Linked DNA regions of Tamandua tetradactyla. The protein of the gene in region 3 binds, or shares a complex with, the protein of the main gene of each other region. Links are inferred from orthologs where the notes say so. Each region holds a gene or a part of one and is shown on either strand. Other genes may lie near its edges.

The links.
Region 1: the proteins of TNFSF13B (region 3) and TNFRSF13C are in contact, whole or in part, in a crystal structure (PDB 1OQE), measured with the Homo sapiens proteins. The link is inferred for Tamandua tetradactyla from reciprocal best matches to the Homo sapiens genes TNFSF13B and TNFRSF13C. Residues at the interface, in NP_006564.1 of Homo sapiens: Ser162, Tyr163, Asp203, Thr205, Tyr206, Ala207, Met208, Gly209, His210, Leu211, Thr228, Arg231, Cys232, Ile233, Pro264, Arg265, Glu266, Asn267, Ala268; in NP_443177.1 of Homo sapiens: Asp26, Leu27, Leu28, Val29, Arg30, Val33, Leu37, Leu38, Arg39, Pro41, Arg42.
Region 2: the proteins of TNFSF13B (region 3) and TNFRSF17 are in contact, whole or in part, in a crystal structure (PDB 1OQD), measured with the Homo sapiens proteins. The link is inferred for Tamandua tetradactyla from reciprocal best matches to the Homo sapiens genes TNFSF13B and TNFRSF17. Residues at the interface, in NP_006564.1 of Homo sapiens: Ser162, Tyr163, Lys204, Thr205, Tyr206, Ala207, Met208, Gly209, His210, Arg231, Cys232, Ile233, Glu238, Pro264, Arg265, Glu266, Asn267; in NP_001183.2 of Homo sapiens: Tyr13, Asp15, Ser16, Leu17, Leu18, His19, Ile22, Arg27, Ser29, Ser30, Asn31, Thr32, Pro33, Pro34, Leu35.

The regions. Positions count from the first base shown.
Region 1 is NC_135333.1:35,189,982-35,197,848, forward strand, and holds TNFRSF13C (tumor necrosis factor receptor superfamily member 13C), read right to left. Parts: upstream 2,789-7,867; 5' UTR 2,461-2,788; coding exon 2,124-2,460; intron 1,978-2,123; exon of another isoform or gene 1,915-1,977; intron 1,897-1,914; coding exon 1,674-1,896; intron 1,072-1,673; coding exon 885-1,071; 3' UTR 514-884; downstream 1-513. UniProt on the Homo sapiens protein: B-cell receptor specific for TNFSF13B/TALL1/BAFF/BLyS. Promotes the survival of mature B-cells and the B-cell response.
Region 2 is NC_135349.1:45,170,655-45,178,507, forward strand, and holds the start of TNFRSF17 (tumor necrosis factor receptor superfamily member 17), read right to left. Parts: upstream 3,052-7,853; 5' UTR 2,852-3,051; coding exon 2,734-2,851; intron 1,970-2,733; coding exon 1,823-1,969; intron 252-1,822; coding exon 1-251. UniProt on the Homo sapiens protein: Receptor for TNFSF13B/BLyS/BAFF and TNFSF13/APRIL. Promotes B-cell survival and plays a role in the regulation of humoral immunity. Activates NF-kappa-B and JNK.
Region 3 is NC_135330.1:177,864,692-177,872,282, reverse strand, and holds the start of TNFSF13B (tumor necrosis factor ligand superfamily member 13B), read right to left. Parts: upstream 3,094-7,591; 5' UTR 2,895-3,093; coding exon 2,544-2,894; intron 2,440-2,543; coding exon 2,352-2,439; intron 1-2,351. UniProt on the Homo sapiens protein: Cytokine that binds to TNFRSF13B/TACI and TNFRSF17/BCMA. TNFSF13/APRIL binds to the same 2 receptors. Together, they form a 2 ligands -2 receptors pathway involved in the stimulation of B- and T-cell function and the regulation of humoral immunity.

The DNA.
Region 1 (7,867 bases), on a different chromosome or scaffold from region 3:
GGGAGGATGGGCCACAGAGAGAAGGGTGCTTGGGGACACTGGGTCCTGCAGGTTGAAGGCCATAGGCCTGTCCTTTGCACATGTCTGTGCAAAGGACCCTCCTGTGTTCAGCTCGGTGTGATGCACCCTGGAGGCAGCTGGAACCCCAGAGTGGTGTCTGAGGGAGATGTCTGCCAGTGTCCTTCCGCTTGACTTTGCAAGCCCAGCCTTGAGGCTGTAGACCTCCACTGAGGTACAGGCCTGTGGTTCTGGAAGCTGCCTCCAGGATGAAAATGGCATTTTAGGTCCCAGCAGGTCGGGCAAAGTTTAGGGTGGACCTGGGCCCAGAGACACAGATACCTGAGAATCAGCACAGTCTCCTCCTTATAAAATCACCACATCTCCTCCTTACAAAAATGATCTTGGCCTAAATCTCAAAGCAAGTTCATTCACTGGTTACTCACTGCCACCATTTGCATCAGTTGAGAGGCAGGACAGCTCTAAGAGCAAGTACTAAAGAAACACAACACTGGGTTACAAATACAGCAGCCTCCGGCTTTATCCTTTATCCAGATGCATTCTGGCTTAACGGCGGCTTTTCCACTCTGAAGGAAACACCTCTCACTCATGGTGCTCCAATCATTCAAAAGCACAAGAGCCCAGATAGAACCTTTGAAGGCCATTGAAGATGGTATGGCTTTGAGTCAAAAGCAACATGCCGAACAATGCCCTGTGGGCTGAGCACTGTGGGCTGCAGTCCCTGGGTCTGCAGGATCTGCTGGGGAGAAGCCCGGCTCCCAGGAAAGGGGCAGGTGGGTGCTGAGGTGAAGAGCCCAATTCAACTTCCAAGCCCCGGGGTGGAGGTCCCCAGGGAGGGCATAAGCCACCTCCTGCCCCCTCCATCACTACGGCTGCTCAGGGCCAGCTGACTTGGTGGTCACCAGCTCCGTGGATCCCAGCTCCATGGCTGGCACAGGGATGCTGTGGCCAGGTGGCATGGCGGCTGGATCTTTGGGAGGAGGCCAGACAGGAGCTGTGGCTGCCGGGGGTCCAGAGGAGAGGGTGCTGACATCGTCCAGAGGCTCTGGGCAGGAGAGGGTGGGGGATGGAAGTCAAGATGGTGTCACAGCCTCCCCCTCTCCTTGTTCTGGAAGCTTCCTTTGGGGGCAGCCCTCAGACCAGAGAGATAAGTCACTGAAGCCCCAGTGGGGGTAGGGGGTGGGGAGGGTGGCATGTGATAGGCCCTTAGGACAGGAAGTGCTGAGTGTGGGGTGAGCCCAGGAGGCTGAGAAGATGGGGAATGCTGATGGAGGGAGACATGAGATGGGTCCGGCCATCCCCAAGATTTATGTTGGGTCCAGGACCCCTGGGTCTCCCAGAAGGGGGGATGGACTCCTCCCTCAGGCTGGCTCCCCATTTGTGTGTCCTTCCTGGGACTGGGGCTGGGGAGAGCAGAGCTGTGGCCCTCACGTGGACTCTGCCTCCCCTCTCAGCCTGAGGTCTTTCCCCGCTCACAGCCCTGCCTCCCTCTTCAGGCCCCTGCCCCTACCCCGACCCCAGGGCCGTGTCTCCCCCTTCACACTGCTGCGATCCCCCAGGCCATGTCTTCTCCCCCACACTGTCCCCACGCCAGGCCCTGCGGCCTCTCTGGGACTGGGCAGTGCCTCTTCTTTCCCTCTGATGCCCACTCACCCTCTGGGTCTAGGTCCACGGCCTCGGGGGACGCGGCCCCGCGCAGCCGCCGCCGCAGCCTCCAGCTCACCAGGCCCACCAGGAGCAGCGCCAGCGCCAGGCCCAGCAGCGCCGGGGCGCCGAAGAGGAGCCCCGGGAGCGGCTTCGCGCCCTCGGGCCGGGCCCCCGCGCCCACCGACTCCTGCGGCTGCAGCGCCGTCCTGGGCGCCAGGCTGCTCATCCCCGCTGGGGGAGGGGGCGGGGAGGGGGGACAGGGGGCGCCTGCGAGGAACGGCCGGGGAGGGGGCCGGCGGGCGGGAGGCGAGGCTGGGCCGGCGGGGGAGGGTCAGCCGGGGCGGGGGTGGGCACGGGGGAGGGGGGAGAGAGGGCCGGTGAGGGCCACGCGCTGATGGCTGGTCCCCGGGCAGCTCCCTGCCCACGGGCCTCCCATCCACCCACGGGGCGCCACTTACCCGGCCTGGGATCGGGCGTCCGGAAGAGCCTGCAGGACACGCAGGTGCGGAGCAGTGGGTCGAAGCACTCGGCCGGCGGGACCGCACTGGAGAGGCGCGGGCCTGTCCCTGACCCCCATGCTTCTCGCCCCTGGCCCATGTTGCGGCCGGCCCGCAGCTGAGACTGGGTCTGGACTCCGCAGCCCCTCGGGGAGGAAACTGGGAGGGGCCGCCTGCCCAGCCCGCCCCGGCCCCGCCTCCGCCTGCTGGGGTGAGACGGCTCTTGCCCGGCCCCGAGGCCCAGCACCCCAGGCTGCCTCTTTCTGCCGGTCCTTCCTCCAGTCAGCCACTCAACCATTACCTGCTGGGGGCCCTCGCCTGGGCCCTGGGACAGGGCTGGGCTCAGCCAAGGACCTGCTCATGGGTAGTGAAAGCAACGTCTGCAGGAAGAACCCTGATGTCTGGGTGGCCTCCTCTCCCTGGCCTCCCCAAGGCCGGCCCTCTCCCCCCATCCAGCCTGTCCAATGACCCCTCCTCTGGAGAGCCCTTCCTCAGTGCCCACACTGTACCAAGCTCCAAGCCCAGTGGTGGCGACATGGAGCAGAGACGGACAGGCCTGCCCAGAGGGACAGGGTGGTGGTGATTGGGTTGGTAGGTTCCAGACAATGGCCTCAGTGCAGGTCATCACCACGGGGCGGGGGGGGGGGTGGGGTGGGGGGGTGGGGTGGGGTGGGGTGGGGGCAGGAAGTCTTCAAGGAGGAAGTGAGGAGGAGGCATTTGCCAGATGGACTGAGGTCTAGGGGCGCATTCTCATCCACTGTGAGCAAAGTCCTGGAGGCAAGAGTAGGAAAACCAGGGACCAGAGGCCTGGTCTGGGGCCTAAATGGAGGGTTAAGGGGCTTGGCCTATGGCCCTAAGGCACTGGGGAACAATGCAGGGCTTTAAGCAGAGAGTGTCACCGATTTGCATGTTAGCAAGGAGCTGTTTTCTGAAGCAGAGGGGACATATGGAGGTGGAGAGGGCAGCCAGTTATCCAGGGACAGCCTAGTCCCCAGATCCTAAGCAGGAGGGAGACTCAGACCAACAGATGAACAGACAGACCAAGGCCCATCAGGTGACCTGCCCACCCTGACCCCTTTTCCCAGGGCTGCATGTGCCCTGGCCTGCACACACACACACACACGCACGCACGCACGCACGCACGCATGCACACAAAAACCCAAGAGTTTCTTCCAGCCCCTGCCCCATCCCTGGAGGGCAGCAGACACAGAGGAAGGCAGACAGCTTCAGGGAACTCCTAGTGGACCCAGAGCTGGCAGAGCTCAGAGGAGGGCGTGACCATCCGGGACATGGAGGAGGCTTGGGAGGCAGAAGGAGTAAGCATGCCCTTGGCAGCTGCAAGGCCAGAGGGAAATATTCCAGGCAGAAAGATCGGCATGGGCAACAGCATGGAGAAGTGACAGGGGAAGGACAGTCTGGGAACCGCATGGTCACTGCTTCAGGAGGGAGGGTGCTGAGCTGGGTGGAGTCAGACCCAGAGTGAGGAGCCTGGGGTGCTAGAGTGGCAGAGGGACTCATCCAAGTCGTGCTCTAGAAGGGGCCGTCTCTGGCTGCCAGGGAGCAGGAGGGCGGATGGGGCAAGCAGAGCAGTGAGGAGGCGGACACGGTGGTCCAGGGCAGGGGTATGACCCAGTGGTTGTTTAGCAGGAAGGACCGACGTGACTGGCCATGGAGTGAGAAGAGCAAGGCTGGTCCCCAGGTTCATGGTTTGGGGGGCCACCAGAATCCCACTCAGAGCCTCCCATCTGCCAGCCGTGGAGGGTCCTGGCCCACTGCCTCTCCATCCCCTGTCCACGCGCCAGCAACTCCAGGGCAGGAAGGTGTAGGCGGTGGGGCAGCTGCAAAGGAGAAGTGGGTCTGGGGTGGTGGGTGTGGGTGTGGGTGGGTGGTGAGGGGGTGGGGAGAGCAGCCGGGGCCGGGAAGCAGGGAGGGTGGGGGGCAAGAAGACTGGGCCACACACCACCACCACTTCGGGTGCCACTTTATCGCTTTGTCAGTCTTTGCTTTGTCCTGGGGGCTGCATTTTTTCCCCACTCAACATCTCGCTTGACCCCCAGGCCAGACCCTCAGGCAGAGGCAGGCTGCACAGTGGGAGCCCAGGAGCATGGAGTCTGTTATAGGGACAGGGGAGAGTCTCCCCATGGTGCTCTGAGCCTTGCCACAGAGAACAGGGGAGCTGGCCTGCACGGCCTCAAACGAGAGGAGGCACGGCCGGAACTCACCATTCACTATGCTTGTGGCCGGAGAAAGGGCGTGGGCCGCGTGGAGGACGGAGGTGTGATGACCCGTTGGACACCAATGGTTGTCATGCGCCTGAGACGTGCTGCACAGGCCCAGGCGATGGAGACGCTCAGGGGTGCTGCAGGCTGGACCCGAACAGACACCCAGTTTCACCTCCTAAGCAGGGTGCGTGACGGAGAGGGGGCTGCCAGCCTCAGCTCCTGCCCGCACAGTTCAGGCATCAGGCATACATTCCGCCCTCAGACTGGCCGGTTGGCAAACGGCTGCTGATTCCCCAATCCAAGGAGTACAAACTATGGGACTTTGTTGCTAAAAAAACCCTTCGAATTGAACCTGTCTCTCAGCTTCTCACTCATTTTTTAAAACGATGACTAATTTTGGCCCTGTCAGTGTCCCTTGACCTTTGTCCCCACGAACACCCCCTGTGCCCCCCACCCCCCACAATGGTTCTCACACAGGTGCTATTTGAGCCCATTTCTCCAGCACACCCCAGCACACATGGGCAGGGGGCCTGGCTGAGTCTGGGGCCCCTTGGCTGACATGTGGCCTGTGCCCCATGCTTGGGGCTGGGGAGGCAGGTGGGAGGTGTGGCACCATTTGGCCTCGGGGCTGTCCCTGGGGTAGGGTCGCCAGATCTAGATGTGAAAGGGCTCTGGGACCCGGGATGCTCTGTGCTTAAAAATGAGTTTTATTCACAACCATGTGAGTGGTATCTGAACATGTTCTCACGAAAAAAACCCTCAAACAAAACCTGACTCCTGAGTGACAGGGGCCTTTCCCTGCCCTCCCGGGAGGCCTCTGCTTTCGCTTCGGGGCCTTTCATCCCGGGCCTGCTTTGTGCCCTTGGGTCCTCATGGATGGGTTTTGTGTGTTTCACGAAAGGGGTTGTGCGTGTGAATTTTCTTTACTGGCTTTCCCCGGCCCCCACCTCTAGGTCCCCGAGGAGAGTCCCACATCTGGCCTCACAGCCCCATTTCATTTTGCAGCAGCAGCTCGGACACTGCTCATGGGCTTTAGTTCTGACAAACAAGGGCTCTATGGGACCATCCCCACCACCTGGGACAGCAGGAAGGATGTACTGGGAGTGGGGGGGGTGGGTAGCCCGGGAAGCAGTACAAGGCCCTGGTGGGGTCTGAGCAGAGGGCCAGCAGCATAGCAGCTGCCAGTGAGGCCCCCACTGTACCCTTTCCTCTTCTGAACCCGAACTAGCAAGGGGGGTAATGCCACTTCACGCGAAGTCATGAACCCCTGCCAGGCCCCAAGCCACTGACCCGTCTGCCCCAGGTCTCCCTCGGCACACACTTGCACTCCATGGGATTCTCTTTGCGCAGCCCTGGGACCAGGGTCGTGTGAGGTCAGAAAGGGGATGCCATCCCCTCAGCCTCCTGAGAGCTACCTTTCCCTCTGGGCTCCACAAAGGAGGGACCAAGGAGTCAGAGGTTCTGGGCTTCCTGCAGACACCCCCCATTCACCACCAAATCCCCATGTAGCCCCTGCTAGGTACCAAGCAGTACTCCAGGTCCTAAGGATACAGCAGCAAACGACAGGAGTGAAAAAAAAAAAAACGAATAAATAAACCAATATAGTGTGTGAGGAGATGTGAAGTGCCAAAGGGAAAAATTCAGGAGGGAAGGGTATAGGGAGGGCCAGGGTGTCAGGGAAGGCCTGTGGAGAAGGCGACATGGGGCAGACAGACAGAGGGAAAGCTCCTGTGGGGAGCCCTGAGGGAGGGGCACCCCCTGGGAAGCTGCAGCACTCCGGGTGGGGGTGGGGGACAGCAGCCCACACACCTCCCAGGCCTACCCCCTCCCCACCGTGGCCTCACCCCTCGACACACCTGCTAGGACTGGTTCCCAGGGGGCCCACTTCCTGCTGCTGAAAGGCTGAGGGGACGGCATCCCCTTTCTGATCTCACATGACCCCAAGTCCCAGAGCCGTGCAGACAGGGAAGGTGGCACTGCTCTTCCTATCTCCTAGGAGGCAAGCAGGCTCAGAGAATAAGGGACCTGCACAGGCTTCAAAGCCCCCTACCCCGCCCCATGCACCCATGGGGACCTTCTTCCTGTCTGGATGGGTTCAGTGATACTGGCCTGAGGCCGAGCACGTTAGAAGCAGAGTGAGTTCTGGGGACCCCCTTTGGGCTGGTATGCATCAGACCAGGCACCCACCGTTAGCCCTTGGCCTGAGAGGGTGGCCCTGAGGAAAGCTCCCTCCCACCCAGGTCAGGGACACTGGGGACCAACCATGCTCTTCCTCTCAGTCCTGGTGGGAGGTGGACTCAGGTCTCAGGATGGGCAGGGCCTGGCACCCACTGCAATGCCCACCCTAGTACCCCTCCTCTGCCCCTCGGGACTCCATGTGCCTGTAAGACAATACCTCTCTGCCCACACCCTTTGGGCCCCAGGGGAGTTTGGGGTGGGGCAGGGACCCTCATGTTGGAAGCCGTATGCATGTGAGGGTGGGCAGGCTGTGGCAGAGCTCTGTCTTGAGAAGCCCCCAAAGCTCACTTCAGTCCTCATAGTCCGAGCAGCCCCAGCCCACCTACAGGCCTGTGCAGGGCAGGCCCTTCAGGTTCTCACGAGCCTCCCAGGAAGCCTCCAGAGGCAGAGACGGTCTAAGGCTCCGAGAGGGGAAGTGAGCTGCCGCAGACCCCATGCTGGTGGGACTCAAGGGCAGACTCCTTTCCCACTGTGTCACTTCCCCTCTGTGGCCAGAATGCCCCTGCCCTCGCTGCAGCCCTGGGCCACCGAGGAGCCTCCTCCCCACTAGCAAGGCCTTACCTCCTTGGCAGGTGTGGGGCCAGACTTGGGCCTGGGCTCCTGGGCAGGCCTAAGGGCTGCCCACCACTAGGTGGCCTGAAGGGCTGAATGAACCTGTGATTCTGGGCAAGTCCCCACCCCTCTGACAGCCACAGACACCTCACTTCACGGTGGGCAAATTACCACTTGCCTCCTGTCATGCTCACATGACAGCATGGAGCCGCAGCTCCCAGGCAACTGAAGCCCACCCAGCTCACAGCCACTGGGAGATGTGTCTTCCCTGGACACCTGAGGTGGCGCCAGTTCCAGCCTGAGGGGTCATTCATCGGCTTAAAGCTTTGTTTCAGAAATGGCTTCATCTGCAAGTCTCACAACCAGCTGGGAGACGGGAATGAACCTTACCCATTCTGCAGGTGGAGAGGTGAGGCTCACAGATGGACCCAGTGGTGTGATCTACTGAGGTCACTCAACCCATCAGCAGCCAAGCCCAGCTCCTCCATCTCCCTCCCCACCCCAGAACCAAGTGCCTGCTCTAGGCACCCTGAGGGACATCAGGATGGCCTTCATCGACTTCCCTCAGTCAAGCTGCACCGTTCTGGACAGGCTCACAGGCCTCTACCCAGCCCTTGGCTCCAGATGATGGGTGCAAAGCAGCCTCGCTCCCTGGCCAGCCTTCTGGAGACAGCAGCTGGGTGGAACCTCTCA
Region 2 (7,853 bases), on a different chromosome or scaffold from region 3:
TCCTGTGACACTTGCAGCAGCTGACAGGCTATTACCACAGTCATTCGTTTTGGTGGTGACAAGAAGAGTGGCACCTTCCTCCATGGCTGGGAGAGGAAAGAGATGGTCAGAATCAATCTTTGGTTTGCTCCTAGCACAGTCTTCACAGGTGCATTCTTCCACGGTGTACCCCAGGCCTCTCGGAACAATAACTTGAGTACCAGACTTGCTGTTGGCCGGCTCAGCCTTAACTACCTCTGGGAGAGCTGATCCTGAGTACACAAAAACAGAAACATTAAACTAATTTCCCAAGGGATGTGGTCATGACAGTCTTAGCAGTGCACATCAGGACTCAAAACCAGATCTTTTCATACAAGAACGAGTACATCCTACATTGAAAGTCACAACCTAACAGATGACTTGCCACGTATATTTAAACGGCATTGCTTTGTTTGGACTATAAGTATTTTTGAGTGTGTGTTGTTGTTTTATGTTGGCTCACATTTAAAAAACAAGAGATTTTGCATACAAATCCAGATTGCAGGAGTCTCTTTAAAAAGACAAAAAAATGTGACAACATGGAGACAGATTTTCTAGGTGGAAACAATTGGTTGAAATCAAGAGCCGCTGTGGCCTTTAGCCAAGGCTCAGCCCCTGGTGCCAGGCCCTCTACCTGGTCCACTACTCTCATTTGCCACCCACATGGCCCTTTGAAGTTTTGACCCCATCTTGAGCTCTTAAAAATTGACAGTAATCACCGTATGTGCAGCCCACCAAAATCAGCCAGTGGGTAGCACTTTAGAATTCAGAAGTAAAGACACTTCAACAGAGCATTTTTCAGCTGGTTATATTTTTTAAGTGAATTTCTTGTGATCCCACAAGGAAGGAGTCTCCATTATGTCCCCATTAGACACCTGTGAAGCTGGTTTACTACTTCCCGACATTCTGCAGTGTAACATCTTCCCAAAAAATTACACTTAAAGTCACTCCCTACCTGTCTACCAGACCCCAGGAAAAGAAAAGAAAAATGAATAAATGAGGCAAATGTGGATCAGCCATTTACTGCTTTTTGCCGCAGAAAGCAAATGAGATACATGCTTTACAGATTATGCGTGGAATTTAAATTCGTAAGAAAATAGGGCAATTGCTGGCAAGTGTTTGGGAATCAGATCACAAGCAAAGGTGCTGCAGATATATTTTTATCTTCAGTCCTTTAGTAGAACATTCACTTCTCTTGAATTAAGTCTCCTCTGCTTAATAAAGTCAATTATTTTCCTAGATGATTGCTCAAATAATCCAGGAATAATATTCATTTTAGCATTTTTCAATATAATTGTTTTCTCCCAAGAAAAAAACACTTAACATTTGTATTGAAAACACAGCCATGAGTCTTGCCAAATATACTTTTCCTGGTATTACCAGATCTGGGTAGCACTTTTTGATACTATGACATTTAATCAATGGGCTAACTTTAGTCAAAGAGACAGATGTTTCCAGAGGACGCCTCAATATTTTAGTAATTTCTGAGGAAAGGCTGACATTGTAGGAGACTTGCAACCGAGGTATCAACACCAGAATGAAGGCAGCTGGCTTCTACTGAGGAGTTTATTTAGTCTGCCTGTCCTCTAACACCTTTTTTTTTTTTTTTTTTTTTTTTTTTTTTGACAAGGGCAGGCTCTGGGAATCGAGCCCCAGTCTCTGGCATGGCAGGCGAGAATTCTGCCACTGAGCCACCGTTGCACTCTAACTGAATGAAATACTCAATGTTAAAATAGAAAAGAAACTGAAACTTGAAATAACCACCTCTTCAAAACAGATTTCAAAGATTTACCATGAAACCAACCTGTGTTTTTAAAATTGTTGTTTAATTGTTCAGCGCTCATCTTCTTTAGCAAGAACATTAGCACGAAAAATGCCAAACAAAGTATCAAGCCCACTGCCAAGCAGGTCCAGAGAATCGCATTTGTTCCCTTCACTGAACTGGTCACACCTTTATTAAAAGAATGTCAGACAGATAATGCACTGATAACATAACATTCACATTGATTACAGATTGTCGTTCAACTCTCATAATTTACCAACACTGACTTTTTTTCCTATGTACTTAAAAAATACCTTTTTGAGATATAATTGAAATGCAATCAACTGCATGTATTTAAAGTGCACGATTTGATACGTTTTGACATTGGATACATACCTGCAAAACCTTCCCCACAATCACGATAATGAAATATCCATCACTCCCCAAAGTTATCTCATGCCCCTTTATCATCGCTCCCTCCCGTGGTGCTTGCTCCCCTACCCTACCCTAAGCAACCATTGATCTGGCTGTCACAATAGACTAGTTTGCATTTTCAGGAATTTTATGTATATGTAGTCGTATAGTATGTGCTTTTTTTTTAACCTAGCTTCTTTCACTGGACATACCTATTTTGAAATTCACTCCTGCTGATTCACATATAGTGAATAGTCCATTCCTTCTTATTGAGCTCCGCATCGACTTTTACAAAACAAATAATACTTAATTAGAAGAGTTGACAAAAATCTGTGTTGCTAATAGTGATGAATAAAATTAAGTTAGGTTCTAAATAATTACTTTACTCCTATAGGCATTTAAATCATTGCCTTTTTCCCCCCTTTCTCTGATTCAGAAAATCTCACCATCTTCCCTGGAATATCTACTTTTTGGATAATTGGTGATATAGAAAGAGTACTTCATGTCCATGAATAATTGTTCAAGAAATTATTACTTACCTGCATTACAATAACGCTGGCACGATAGAGGAGGGGTATTAGAACATCGGAGGTGACACGGTTTGCAAGCACGAAGCAAACTGTCAAAATACTCATTTTGGAAGCACTGCTGAGCCATCTGGAACTTGATCGCAAAAAGAAACAAGGGAACTGCAGAAATTACAGCACAGAAGGATAAGTAAATCCTTGTCAGGAATTCCCTAGCAAATGTAGTGACAGCAACTAGAATATTGAAGGTAAAAAAAAAAAAAAAAAAAAACTCCACAACATTGCTTAATTGGTTCTTAAAGGGTCCTGTTTCCTTGTACCTCAACAAAGAATTTGAGTACCAACTCTAATTCAAATTTTTGTGTTTGAGGCTTGGGTTGAGTAGGAAATGGGATGTAAATATCAAGGGCAAACCATACTTGAAACAGAAACTGCCTATTTATAGCAGAAATTTCTCACCCAGGTGACAGTTGCAAGATGCAGACAAGCCTGGGGCATGGAGCAGAAGGTTCAATAACCATTTATGAAGTTTATGAGATGCTTTGTGAGGGTTCTTGGGGAGATAATAAAGCAAGGATGATGCCCCTTAAGAATTTAAAAACTAACAGGGGAAATAGGAAATACTCCCAAGGAACCACAGAGCAGGGTAGTAACAGAATGTGAGAGGGGAATAGGGATATCACATATGACCAAAAGCTTTTAGGGAAAACTGCAGTACCGCTGGTGTAAACGGGAAAATCTGGAGTAAGAATGAATTGACAAGAGGGTTGGGAAGAAGATAGCTTTGGGGTATTATTATAATTACTGTTGTTGTTTAAGTAATCCGCATGCCATTGTTGAAAAGTCAGACATTTAATCAATGGGCTAACTTTAGTCAAAGAGACATGTTTCCAGAGGAAACCTCAGTATGTACATCTACATAGAGGAACAGACAGACAGCCCAGCCGTAGTCCTGCCACCCAGAAATAATTACTGTGAACATTTTCATGTAACGCAGAGGTTGGAAACAGAGCTAATGATGTGGGACTCTTTTGTTTGTTGGTTGGTCTGTTTGCTTTGCTAACTTCTGACACATATCTTTCTGGAAGGTTTTCTCTACATATGTAGGCTAAGATAATGTATATTTCCTTTCTACATAAAGGTAAACTTGAGTTTGCGTTTAACCGTACAAAGTGAGATATCCGTGTAGACATGTCCAGAAGGTAATCGGAGATGCACGGCTCAGTGGAAGACTATTCAGCCATAAAAAGTAATCAAGTGGAGTGCAAGGGTAGTTCAGTGGTAGAATTTTCGCCTGCCATGCAGGATATCTGGGCTCGATTCCCAGTGTGTGCACTTGCCCCTGCAAGAAAAAATTCAACAAACGGTTCTGCAATAACAGGATAGTCACATGGAAAAGAATGAAATGTGACCCCCACCATACAGCATACAAAAAAAAGTAACTGAGTTTTGATGCACGTTACTACATGGATGAAACCTGAAAACATCATGCCAAGTGAAATAAAGCAAACACAAGAGGGCACATATTGTATTGTATCGTGCAATATAATTTTGTCTAGATATTTCCACTTTGAAATATCTAAGGAAATTCAGAGGGACAGAAAGTAGATTAGAGGTTGCCAGGAACTGGGGGCAAAGGGGAATGGGGAGTTAATACTTAATGGGTACAGAGTTTCTGTTTCAGGTGATGAAAAAGTTTTAATAATGGAAGGTGGTGATAATAGCACAACATTGTACAAGTAGTTAATGCCACTGAATTGTATACTTAAAAATGGTTAAAATAGCAAATTTGACATTATATGTGTTACCAATTTTTTTCATAATACGTAGGGAAATGACAAATTCCAAGTTCAGTATAATGATTATCTCTGGAGTAAGGCCCAAAATGGCTTCACCGAATTTGTTAGTATTTTATTTTTTAAGCTGAATGATGAATACATGGGTATTTGTGGTATTGTCCTTTGTTGTATTTTTTTGCATTCTTTATAACTTTTTGTATTTTTAAAATTTTGCATAATAAAACTTTAAATAGTTACCATATAATAAAATGCAGGATTCAGAAACAATTAATTTCTAAAATATAGGACTTGAGAAAAGAGTTTGGACTTAGGTATTGATCAAGAACTCAGATTCCCCTGGGAGGTGAAGCAGTGAGGTAAATGAATGAGGCTGGCTGAGTGGGGCAATGGGGAGTTGGAGCTGGCCTGGCAGGTTCTACTACTTAAGCTGTCCAAATCAACCTTTTGAAAGACAGACAAAGGATCCAGGGCTAGCAGGAGCAGAGCAGTGGAAAGAGGTCAGTGACAATCTCACATACCCACCAGGCAAGGAGAGAGCTTCTGCATGGGTTGGGAGTGGGGTCCAACTCTACAGAAAAGTCAAAGGCAGTGGGAAAAGGAAGGAAGTCATTGGCGGCCTTTGAGAGCACAGTGCCAGAAGGTGCAATCCAAGTTGTAGGTATTTAAGGGGTGGCAGAAAGAGGTGAAAGCCAATGTGAACCATGCCTGAAAGTGTGGTGGAAACAGGGATCAACAGCTGTGATGGCTGTTTGGAAAGAAGCACCACTGCCATTGTGCCTGGTGGATGTTCTTGCCTGGTTGCCTGAGGACACAAGTGCAAGGATGGTCACTGCAGCACCAATGCACTCACAAAAGCCTGGAGCAATCTAAATACCCATCAGAAGGGGCTTCATAGTGGAATACCATACATCCATCAAAAAGAATGAGCCAGATAGGGTCTGCTACAAAAGAAACATTGCTAAGTGAAAAATGCAGGGGACTGAACGGTGTGTGTAATATGCTTGCCTATGTTTACAAGCAAAATGGGAAGGGTATGTATGTACAGACATATATATAGGTCACATCTAGAAAGATCCACAGGAGGCTGATAGTAGTTACTCTTTTAAGGGTGGGAAGCTTATGTTAAATGCTTTTTTTTTTTAATAATCTCTTTTTTAAGGGTGGAGAGCTTGGAGGAGGAAAATGTAGTGAAAGGAACAAGACACTTGCATCCTTCCTTCTTTCTTTCTTTCTATGTCCAACTGTGTCCTGGTTTCTTTCTGTCATTTGGCGCAGCAACACCATCTTCTGCATCTTGGCTCCATTCTCAGGACCTCCCCTCATGGGCACAAAAGAGCTACTATCTTTCCAGACCTTGCCTACTCTCCCATTTCTTCTAAGCTCTCTCCTTAGTAATCTCATCAGCTCCCAGGGTTTTAGATATGTTAACTCCAAGATCTATACATCAACAATAATCTTGCCTTTGAAATCCAGACTCATATACCAACTGCCTAGTTGATGTTTTTACCTAGAAATCTAATAGGCATTTCAAACTTTAATATATTAAAGTACATTTGGATTCCCCAAGAAGTATATATTGTATGCTGCCTTCATCAAACCTACTGGTCCTTTTTCCAGGACCATCTATGAACATTTAGAAATATATGTTTTGGTGGAACACAATTTGCAAAATGAAGCTAAATTATCTACACAATTCCTTCCAGCTCCAAAAGACTGGTGCTTTTTTTTTTTTTTTTTTTTGTATGCTGTATGGCAGGGGTCACATTTCATTCTTTTTCCATGTGAGTATCCTATTACTGCAGCACCATTTGTTGAATTCTTTGCTTGCTTGCTTGCTTTTGTTTGTTTGTTTGTTCATTTTGGGAAGCGCATGGGCAGGGAGTCTAACCCAGGAGCCTATGATTTTAAAGCAAGGATTTTTAGTAGTTTCATGATAGGGAGCATTGGTGTATAATAACTGCCAAAAGAGTGCTGTATCTGGCCTTGCTCTACACAGAAAGAACAAAGAAAGGAAAACCAATTCCCGAGTCAGGCCCAGGCTTCGGCACTCACTCACAGCTCTAAGGAAGCAAGGAATTGTTGCCTCAAGCTTCCAAAGCCATCGGTAGCATGCTCTGAGGAAGATTCCATCCAACTACAACATTTTTTCCCCAAAATTACTAAACCACAGGCAAGTTTTCACAGAACACTTTGACCCTTAGCTCTTAACTCCACACCAGAAGTATAAACTTTCTCCCAAGGAACTTTGTAGACCTTTTCACTTGGAAACAGACATCTAGGCCCTTGACTACACATCCAATCCTTGTCTTCTCTTGAATTATTGATTAAACCTCGGCACTGCAGTGGGCTATATCAAGTTGGCTACCCTGGAGATTCCCAGAATCCCCTTCTCCTTATGGGTCCATGATAGAGTTGGTCAAAAGAGGAATATGTATGAGATTTCAAAGGCAGATATGAAGCCGCAGTCCCTACTCTCTGAAGGTCATCATTGTTGTATACAATGGTGAATGGTTGCAGAGATGCTCAGAGGGTTCCTGCTTGTCCTCATTTTCCTTGGTGCAGCACCCACCTCCTGTCCTAGCCCTGCTGACCTGCTGAGTCAAAAAGACTTCCTGTCCCAGATCTTCATCTCCCCAGCTCCTCCCATGATAAGGAAAGGTCTAATTCCTATACTACGTCCCTTCTCCTGTAACAATCATGACAACTCTACTCCCCTGACCAAACCCTGACTGATACCAACTCTTCAACCTTGTTTTGAACCCATAGTTCGAATATCGAGGCAGGACAGTTCAGGTCTTGCTCACAAACTGGCTTGGCACTACGGTAAAAGTGCAAGTTTGGGGGTCAGAAAAGTCCGAATCCCAGCTTCACCACAGTGGAACCAGTGTCATCTTGAGCAAGTGACTTAACCTCTCTGAGCCTCAGTTTCCTCACCTGTGTCAATATGAAAGATTATACTTCCAACCTCCTGGGATTGTTGTGAGGATTAACTCACATGGATTTATGGAAAGCACTGAGGATAGTTCCCAGCCAGAGGAAGCACTCAGCAAATGGTATCTAATTTGTGATTATTAACAGGAAGTTCAGAGTCCATCAATCTCTGGGAAAGGGTGCTTGCCTAAGGCTGGCGGAGGTAGCATAATCAGAGAGAGACTCAAGGGTAAACCAAGGTCATCTTCAAAACCCAAGCCAGGAAAACAACATTAAGCATTGAGTACTGGAATGGCAGGGAAAGATGCAGCAAAAAAATGGAAGAGTGCGAGACTGGAGAGCAGGATGGGTGGGAGTTTGAGAAATGGGTTACCGCAAAGGTTTAATACTTTGATAATGAGT
Region 3 (7,591 bases):
CATCAGCATACAACTGTTATATGCCATAATGCACAAATACATAAAAATATATAAATTTGTTAGAATGAAACAAAAATATTAGTAGAGGATTTGGAGGAAAAGGGACTCTGGGAGTTTTGTTTTCTTACTCTACTATTTTTTTCTTATTAAATCTGCCATGATAAGCCTTATATCATCTTTAGAATGTAATATTTAGAGGTAGGAGGATAGTATCAGATAAGGTTGAAGAAGACCTAGGAATCCTGACTACGAGATACTGGAGCCCATTATAACACAAATTACTTCAAATAGTTCATTTAATGCAAATAAATAGAAGAGTAAATCAATGAAACAAAAACAGAGAGTCTGTAAATAGATTTGACTATTTTGAGGAACTTAAAAAAACACAGTAAGCTTTCCTAACACAAAAGGAGTTAAAAATTATTTAATAAATTTGGTTGAGCTATTTAGCAACAGTTTAGGAAGGAAAAAAAAAGAAGAAATGAAGAACTTAAAACAAGCATGTCAAGATACATCACAATAGGCACCAGAAGGGTTAATGAGTTAAAATCTAAACTAAAATACTAAATTATAAGAAATTCAAAGTAGCAGAAAGTAGAATAGACTACTTAAGAGATCCTGAAAGAATATTCTTTCAGCTTTGATGTATTAGAAAAATAAAAGGAAAATATTATTACATTAAAGTATAGACATATAAAATCTCTGTATAATTTTTAAAGCAGCAAAATATTATGAAAACTTTGATAAAATTAATACATCTAATATATAGTTTATTCCAAATTATAAATAATTAGGACGACAAATGGTAGAAGTTATAGATAAAAATTAACATGATAAAATTAGAAGTAAAATATGGAGAAAGAAGTTCATTTTTATTTGCAAACAAACAGCAAATTAAAATAAAATTGAGATACTATTTCACTGTTACTAATCTAGCCAAAATAGATTTTAAAAGCTAAAATGCTTGTAAGACTATAGAGAAACAGACACACCACCTTGCTTGTTAAATATATTTATACTCATTCTGAAAGCAACATAGCAGTATATAACAAGGGTCATAAGGATTTCCATTTTATTTAATTCAGAAATTCCACTATACAGAATTTGTATAAAGCAGTTAATGACTCAGAAACAAAAAAGATCACTGTAAAATTTTAGCAAGATTGTACTGTATTGTAGCAAAAAATGGAAATAATTGTGTTGAAAATAGTAGAATAGCAGATTAATGTACATGTATGAGAATTACTTAGAAATAGGGTAAATACAGATTGTATAATAAGAAAAAACAAAAATATAAAATAATAGATATGCAGCACTATTTTTAATTATTGTAGAAAACAGATGAAAATAACTGATATATTAAAGCAGTAATATTATGCCTGTTTCCTGGTTTAAAAATTATTAAGTCTAAGTGTTTCTGATAATTGGCATAAAGATATGAAAATCAGATAACAAAGTTATGGTTTTATAAAATAGGGGAGAAGGTTTTTCATAAATAAGGTATATAGTTGAAAAATAAATGGATTTGTAGGCCAAGCACTTTGTGTGTGTGTATACACATGTGCGTGTGGATTATAGAAAAGCACCTACCCTACCACTGAATAGGTCTCACATCTTTTCTCAGAAGAGAAAATATGAAATATTATGGTGCTCAAAAATGCTCTTTCAATATAAAAGGAAGATAGTATCAAGGATTTGTGGACAACATCCTAGATTATAATATTAATAAATACAAAACAAATACTGTTCTTCATCTGTGAAATGAAGGAACTAGAATTGATTATTTTGATAATCCCTATCATCTCTAAAATTTTATGAATTTATGAAATTCTGTGGAATAAGTGGAACATGACGAAAAACAGAAATCATGAAAAAACTATTAGAAGATTATAAACGTATGGAATTCCTGGAAAGCCATAACTAAAAAAAAAAACTTGAAAATCAATGGGTGTGCATGCGCATTCACAAGCCTGCATATGTGTGCAAAGCATAGCCTCCCACTCTAGGATCTTCATTTGGTTTCACAAAATTCACCCTTGGGAAACACTTGTCTTTAATGACTTTCTATGACCCATGTAGACAAAGTCTAATTCTGTAGTGAGATGAAGTGAACTCATTGGAGGCCAAAACATGCTGTGGAGCCCATTGAATTTATCACTGCCACTGCTAGGGTTTTGCTAAAAAGCCAAGTCTGATTTTGATGGTAAATTTCATAGTCTCTATTTAAGAGGTTTCAAGAGATTATTTCACCTCTATTCCCCTAAAGTTGCTGCTATTTTCTAAACCTGTGAACACTGTAATCCTTTGATACTGAATGCTAAATTCTGAATGCTCTTGTCCCCCAAACTTACCTGTGTCTTCTGGACTCTGAATACCACGTTTACTCCTGCTACTCTGACTGGAGTTACTTTCTCCAGGAACTGGTGGTGCAAGGATCCCCTGTTGGCAGAAAAATCCCAAGTTATTGAAAAGACAGCTGGCATGGGGGAGAAGCAGCAGGTTAGGAAGGATTGTATCTGGAACTGCAGCTGCCCATAACTCACTTCAAGTCCCGTGGTGAAAGCTGGAGTTTCCGGTAAAGCTGCCGTGGGGGCTCCAGCTTCTGCCTTAGGAGAGACTGGCAGCTGCTCAGCTTGGTAATATCGCAGTTCCGCCCGGAGGCTCTCCAGCTCTGCTTGCAGGGTGGCCACTCTGTAGAAAGACACCACTGTGAGGGAGAGGGACAGCAGCGTCAGAAGCAAGGTCACTGACAGGAGCTTTCCATCTTTGGAGAACCAGGCAGAGGAGCTTTTCTTCTGGGGGCGAATAGACACCAACTCCTTAAGTTTCATTTCTTCTCTTTTCTTAAGGCAAGAAGAAAGTCGTAACTGCTCCTTTTCTGTGGAGTCAACCATTTCACTACTTGAACTTTGAAGGTTAGGGCCTTTAAAATAAGTGACCACAAGGAATGGATCATTTCCTGTTATCTGTGTTTGTTGATGTCCTACATTTAACACATCACAGAGCTTGGCTCTCTCTGTCAGGAGAGATCTCCTGAATTTTCTTATTTCTTCCCTTCTGCATCCCTGCCCCTCTGTACAATAGGTTTTACTGGCATTCGCCCTTCTATTGGATTGCTCAATCAGTCTTCCTCATTTCACTTTCAGTTTTTGTAAGAATTTTAATGGCATCTCAAAACAATCATATACAAATTCGCCCCTTAAATCCACTGACTAAACTTTGAATTTTGATTAGCATGTGCAAGAGATAGCTTTAAGATAATGTAGATGGTTAAGAGCTCACCCTTAGGCATTATTAGAGAACAGTGTCTAGTTGAGGCCAAATGACTTTGTAGGGAAGTGGAACGAGAACATAAAATGTTCCTGCTGGTGTAATAAAAATAATTAATGTGAAGGTCAGATAAGCTAAGTGCCTTAGCATTGACTTGTCCTCAGTTGCAGCTGTGATTTATTAACAGTTATCAAGTATGAAATTTTAAAAAGGAATCCTCAAAGGAGGAATGGAAGTCAGCTGGGTGTTATTATTTTAACAACGTATTAAAAAGAAAGTGACTAAATTTTAGAGACAAGTTTAGATTAGGTATGAGGAAGGCTATTGGGGGCGAATGCATTTCTAAAGGAAATGTACACAACCTTTTTTCCTGTTCAGACTCATTGGATAGGTAATCAACCCCTCCTGATGAGTCTGTTTCCTGTCTTTCCTGATTTGGCTTCTGAAGCCTCAAATTCCAACTCATCCTGCTACCATGTTGAGGAGAAGCTGGCCTTATTTCCACGCCTCATGGAACACATCAAGTGTTCTTACCCTCAGGTAGTTTACCTACTAGCCACACATATTAGTTTGACTGCCAAAACTGAAGATTATGGAACCTGTCCTGACTCAAATAAGAGCTAGTTCTGTTTCAAGAGCTCTTTATTGTTGCTGCCCAGACTATTCCACCCATTTTAATCCTACCTGTCTTTGACCACTGACTCTTAGCCACATCCTGGGCTCTGGCTGCTTTGCAACCAGCCCAGCAACAAAATATTGATTTACCAATCAACAAATATTACTGAGTGCTTGCCAAGCCCTGAGCTAGGCTGTAAAGACCCAGGGCCCAGGTTCTGCCTCCACCTCTATTTTGACAGCAAGTCACATAGCCACCCATATGACCTAAACAGACCTTAAAGGTCAAAGGATGTCTGACCCCTCCCCTAATATAATCTCAGGAGCATCTGCTGAAACTCCATTGTAACCAAATCTTGCAAGACTGTTAAACTTCATAAGCCATTCCTGGGCACCCCTCTCTCTCTTTTTCTCTCTTGACTTTGGGCAGAGTGCAGACTCTCAATTCCCCACCATTTGCCATTGGGGAAGATCTTCCTCCTGTCTGTAAGTTCCTAATTAAACTCAGAGCTGAAACATTTGTTGAGTCAACCAGGAGACTAAAGAGCTGCCAGCCATAGAAAGTATGAGTCTGGGGAAGGGGGGATCTGTGGGGTTAATCCCAAAGTGGACTGCTTCTTTAGTCATTCACTTGCTTGACTGTGTTGCAGTCAGTTGATCATCATATGCAGTGTGGCCAGCTACGGCAGGCTGTCTTGGGGAAGTCAGAGAAATCCACAGGTCTGTGGGGGCCATGGCAATGGACTGGAGAAATCAGCAGATTGAGATGATGCATTGAATGCAATTCATTGAATGTCTTGTAGATAAGAGTTAGAAATATTAGCATCTTGGCATGCTAGAGTAAGGGGGCATATCCTGACTTCCCCTGACTGGGATACCATAGATTGTTTATCTGATAATGAAAAGGAGGAAAAAGAAGAAATTTGGGAGGCAAAGGGTGGAGTGACTCCACCTTTGTATGCTGTGTTTCCAAAGTTTGCCTCATACTTACAAGGAATTAGGACTTAATTCTTTAGTATTCCCTTAAGTAAGGTCAGTCAATCCATTTTCATCTTCACCTGGGAAGGAGAACAAAGGAATGTCATTGTAGTCCCACATGGCTATTCACATAGCCTGGCCATCTGCCATGAGCTCTTAGCAAAAGGATTTGGCTAAATGGAAAAATGTAACTCTATTTCATTATATTGATAATGTGATGATGTCATGTTAACCAGTAATTCTTTTCCAGAATTAAAATAAAAGCCTTATTGTTATTTCATCTTAACAGTTAGAGATGGACAATTGATCATGGTATTCTGCAATGCCTTGGCTGCCTGTAAAATCTTGAGTATTGTACAACTGGAAAAGGCAAAATTTATTCCTTTAGTAGTAATTGATGAGGTACAATGTTTTCATATGCTGCATATGCCAAAACAACTAGTGGCTTCCTTGGGATTATTGGAATATTGGAAACCTTTCTTCCTCACTCAGCACAAAAGTTAAAACCCGTATTTGTTTTGATTAGGAAAAGCTATCCTTGGGAATGAGACACCTCCCAGCACTTTTGAAAAAGTCAGATGAGCCGTCAGACTGGCTCAGACTTTGTGTGGAGTGGACACAGATATGCCTTGTGAATCAGAAATGGCTACTACTAATATTAGCTTTGGGTGGGACTTATAGCAAAGGTAACAGGCAAAGTGAGTTAAAGAACTGAACTGTGGTCCTGTCCCTTAAGAAAACAACTGTGTGCTGCCTATAATGCCTTCTGTAAATTGAAGGATCAACTCAGAAATGTCCTGTGAAATAAAGAAGAGCCATCCTCATATAGGGGTGGATACGGAACACTCTCACTAAGTTTCACTCTAGCAGTGTACAGTTGAGCACGCTAATGAAATGAAAAGCCTATCTGCTACAGCACAGCATTCTCAACAAAAGCATCTTAAGTGCAGAAATGCATATCCTGAGACTAGTTCGTTTCTTATGTGGAAGAACAACACTTGCCTCTCCCTGCTGATCCTCCTGAAGTGGCTGTCTCTATGACCACCATTGATGGATATGGCAGTATTCCTAAATCTAATGGATCAGCACAAAGGCGGTCTGCTGCCTGGAGGGAGTAGCTGTGCAACCTAGTATGGATACCATATGGAGGGAAGCTGGGACTATGAAAAACAGCCAGTGGCTGAATTAAGGGCTGTATGAATAGTCATTGTTCACAAGCCAGGAGATGCATGAACTATCTGTGCTGACAATTGGGCAGTGTATCAGGGCCTGACAGTGAGGACAGCCACATGGTAGCAAGAGCACTGGCCTGTCGTCTGCCATCCCTTATAGGGAAAAGAAATGTGGGAAGATATTTGGAGTACTTGCCATAAGGGAAAAGTACTGTGTTTTATGTCTCTGCCGATAACACTGATTCTTTACCTGGCAATATTGAAGCAGACAGTTTAGCAAAAATTTGTAGCCTAAAGCCAACATCGCACAAGGCTGTTGAATGGTTGCATAGAAAGAGTGGACACCAAAGGTACTAGACTCTGTGGAGACTGGCACAGCAATTCCAGCTGCCCATCTTTAGACAACAACAGAAAGAAGTGGTAGATGCCTGCCCCTCCTCTTCGCTGTGATGCCCAAAGTTGCTTCTTCATCATCTCCACCACATTAGCCACAGGAGGGTTCCAGTTACCAGGTGGCAGGTAAATCAGATTGGGCCCCTTTCTTTAACTGAAGGTTCAAAATATGTCTTCATAGACATAGATACAGCCCCTGGACTGTTGGCCTCACCAGTAGGGAAATCTAAGCAAAGAGTGACAATATATAGCTTTAGAAAATTTAGAAAAGCTCAGTGCATTATTTGGGGTCCCTCACACATGTGGACAGTGATGGGGGACTCCCGTTCCTGGTCAACTAACCCAAGCCTGAGTACTGAGCATGACATCTTATGGACATTTCATTCGCTTTACAATCCCACAGTAGCAGGGTTAATTGAAAGGATGATGGGTTTTTTAAAGAGCAATTAAAAGATGATAGGCAATCTCTGCAGCAGAGGACATGCAGGTTGTATCCGGTCTTCACCAGCCTCAAATATGGCCCTGAGCAGCTGCTCCCACTCCTATTGTATTGGTAATGGAGGAGCCCATGCAGGTGCTGCAAATTTAGATAGAAGAACCAGAAGTACTACAGCCACAATGAGGCAATGAACATAACTTGCTCTTGCCTGTGCCACAAGCATTAGAAATTGGGGAAAATAAGTTGATTGGCCATGGACCTGGTCAGTGCAGTCATGTTGGTTGGGAGTCCTATGTCCCTGGGGTTCAGGGCTTGCCCAAAATATAAGTATTAGAGCACAGTTTATACACAAAATGTCAACAGTTGTACATGTAACCAACCCAGGACCCCTCATGCCCCAAAGCACAGTATGTATGACTCTGTGGATATTTATTATGCCTAGGCTAACTGTGAATTTGACTCTAAAAAGCTCCCTGCAATTGCAAGGAGAAATGGTGTGGTATTTGTCTACTAATGGAAATTTAGCTGTATTCTTTTGGTACTTAATGTCGTAGCAAATACCTCTCTGCAAAAGGCTTCTGCAGTGACCTACATGCACAGTAGACCTCAATGCTGAGTGTGCACTGAACTGCCACTGTTAGGTGCCACCGGCCTGCCATGGACTGTGACCCCTGGGAACTAGACTGTGTAGATACCCTGCTGGCCTGGCAGAATTCAGCACATC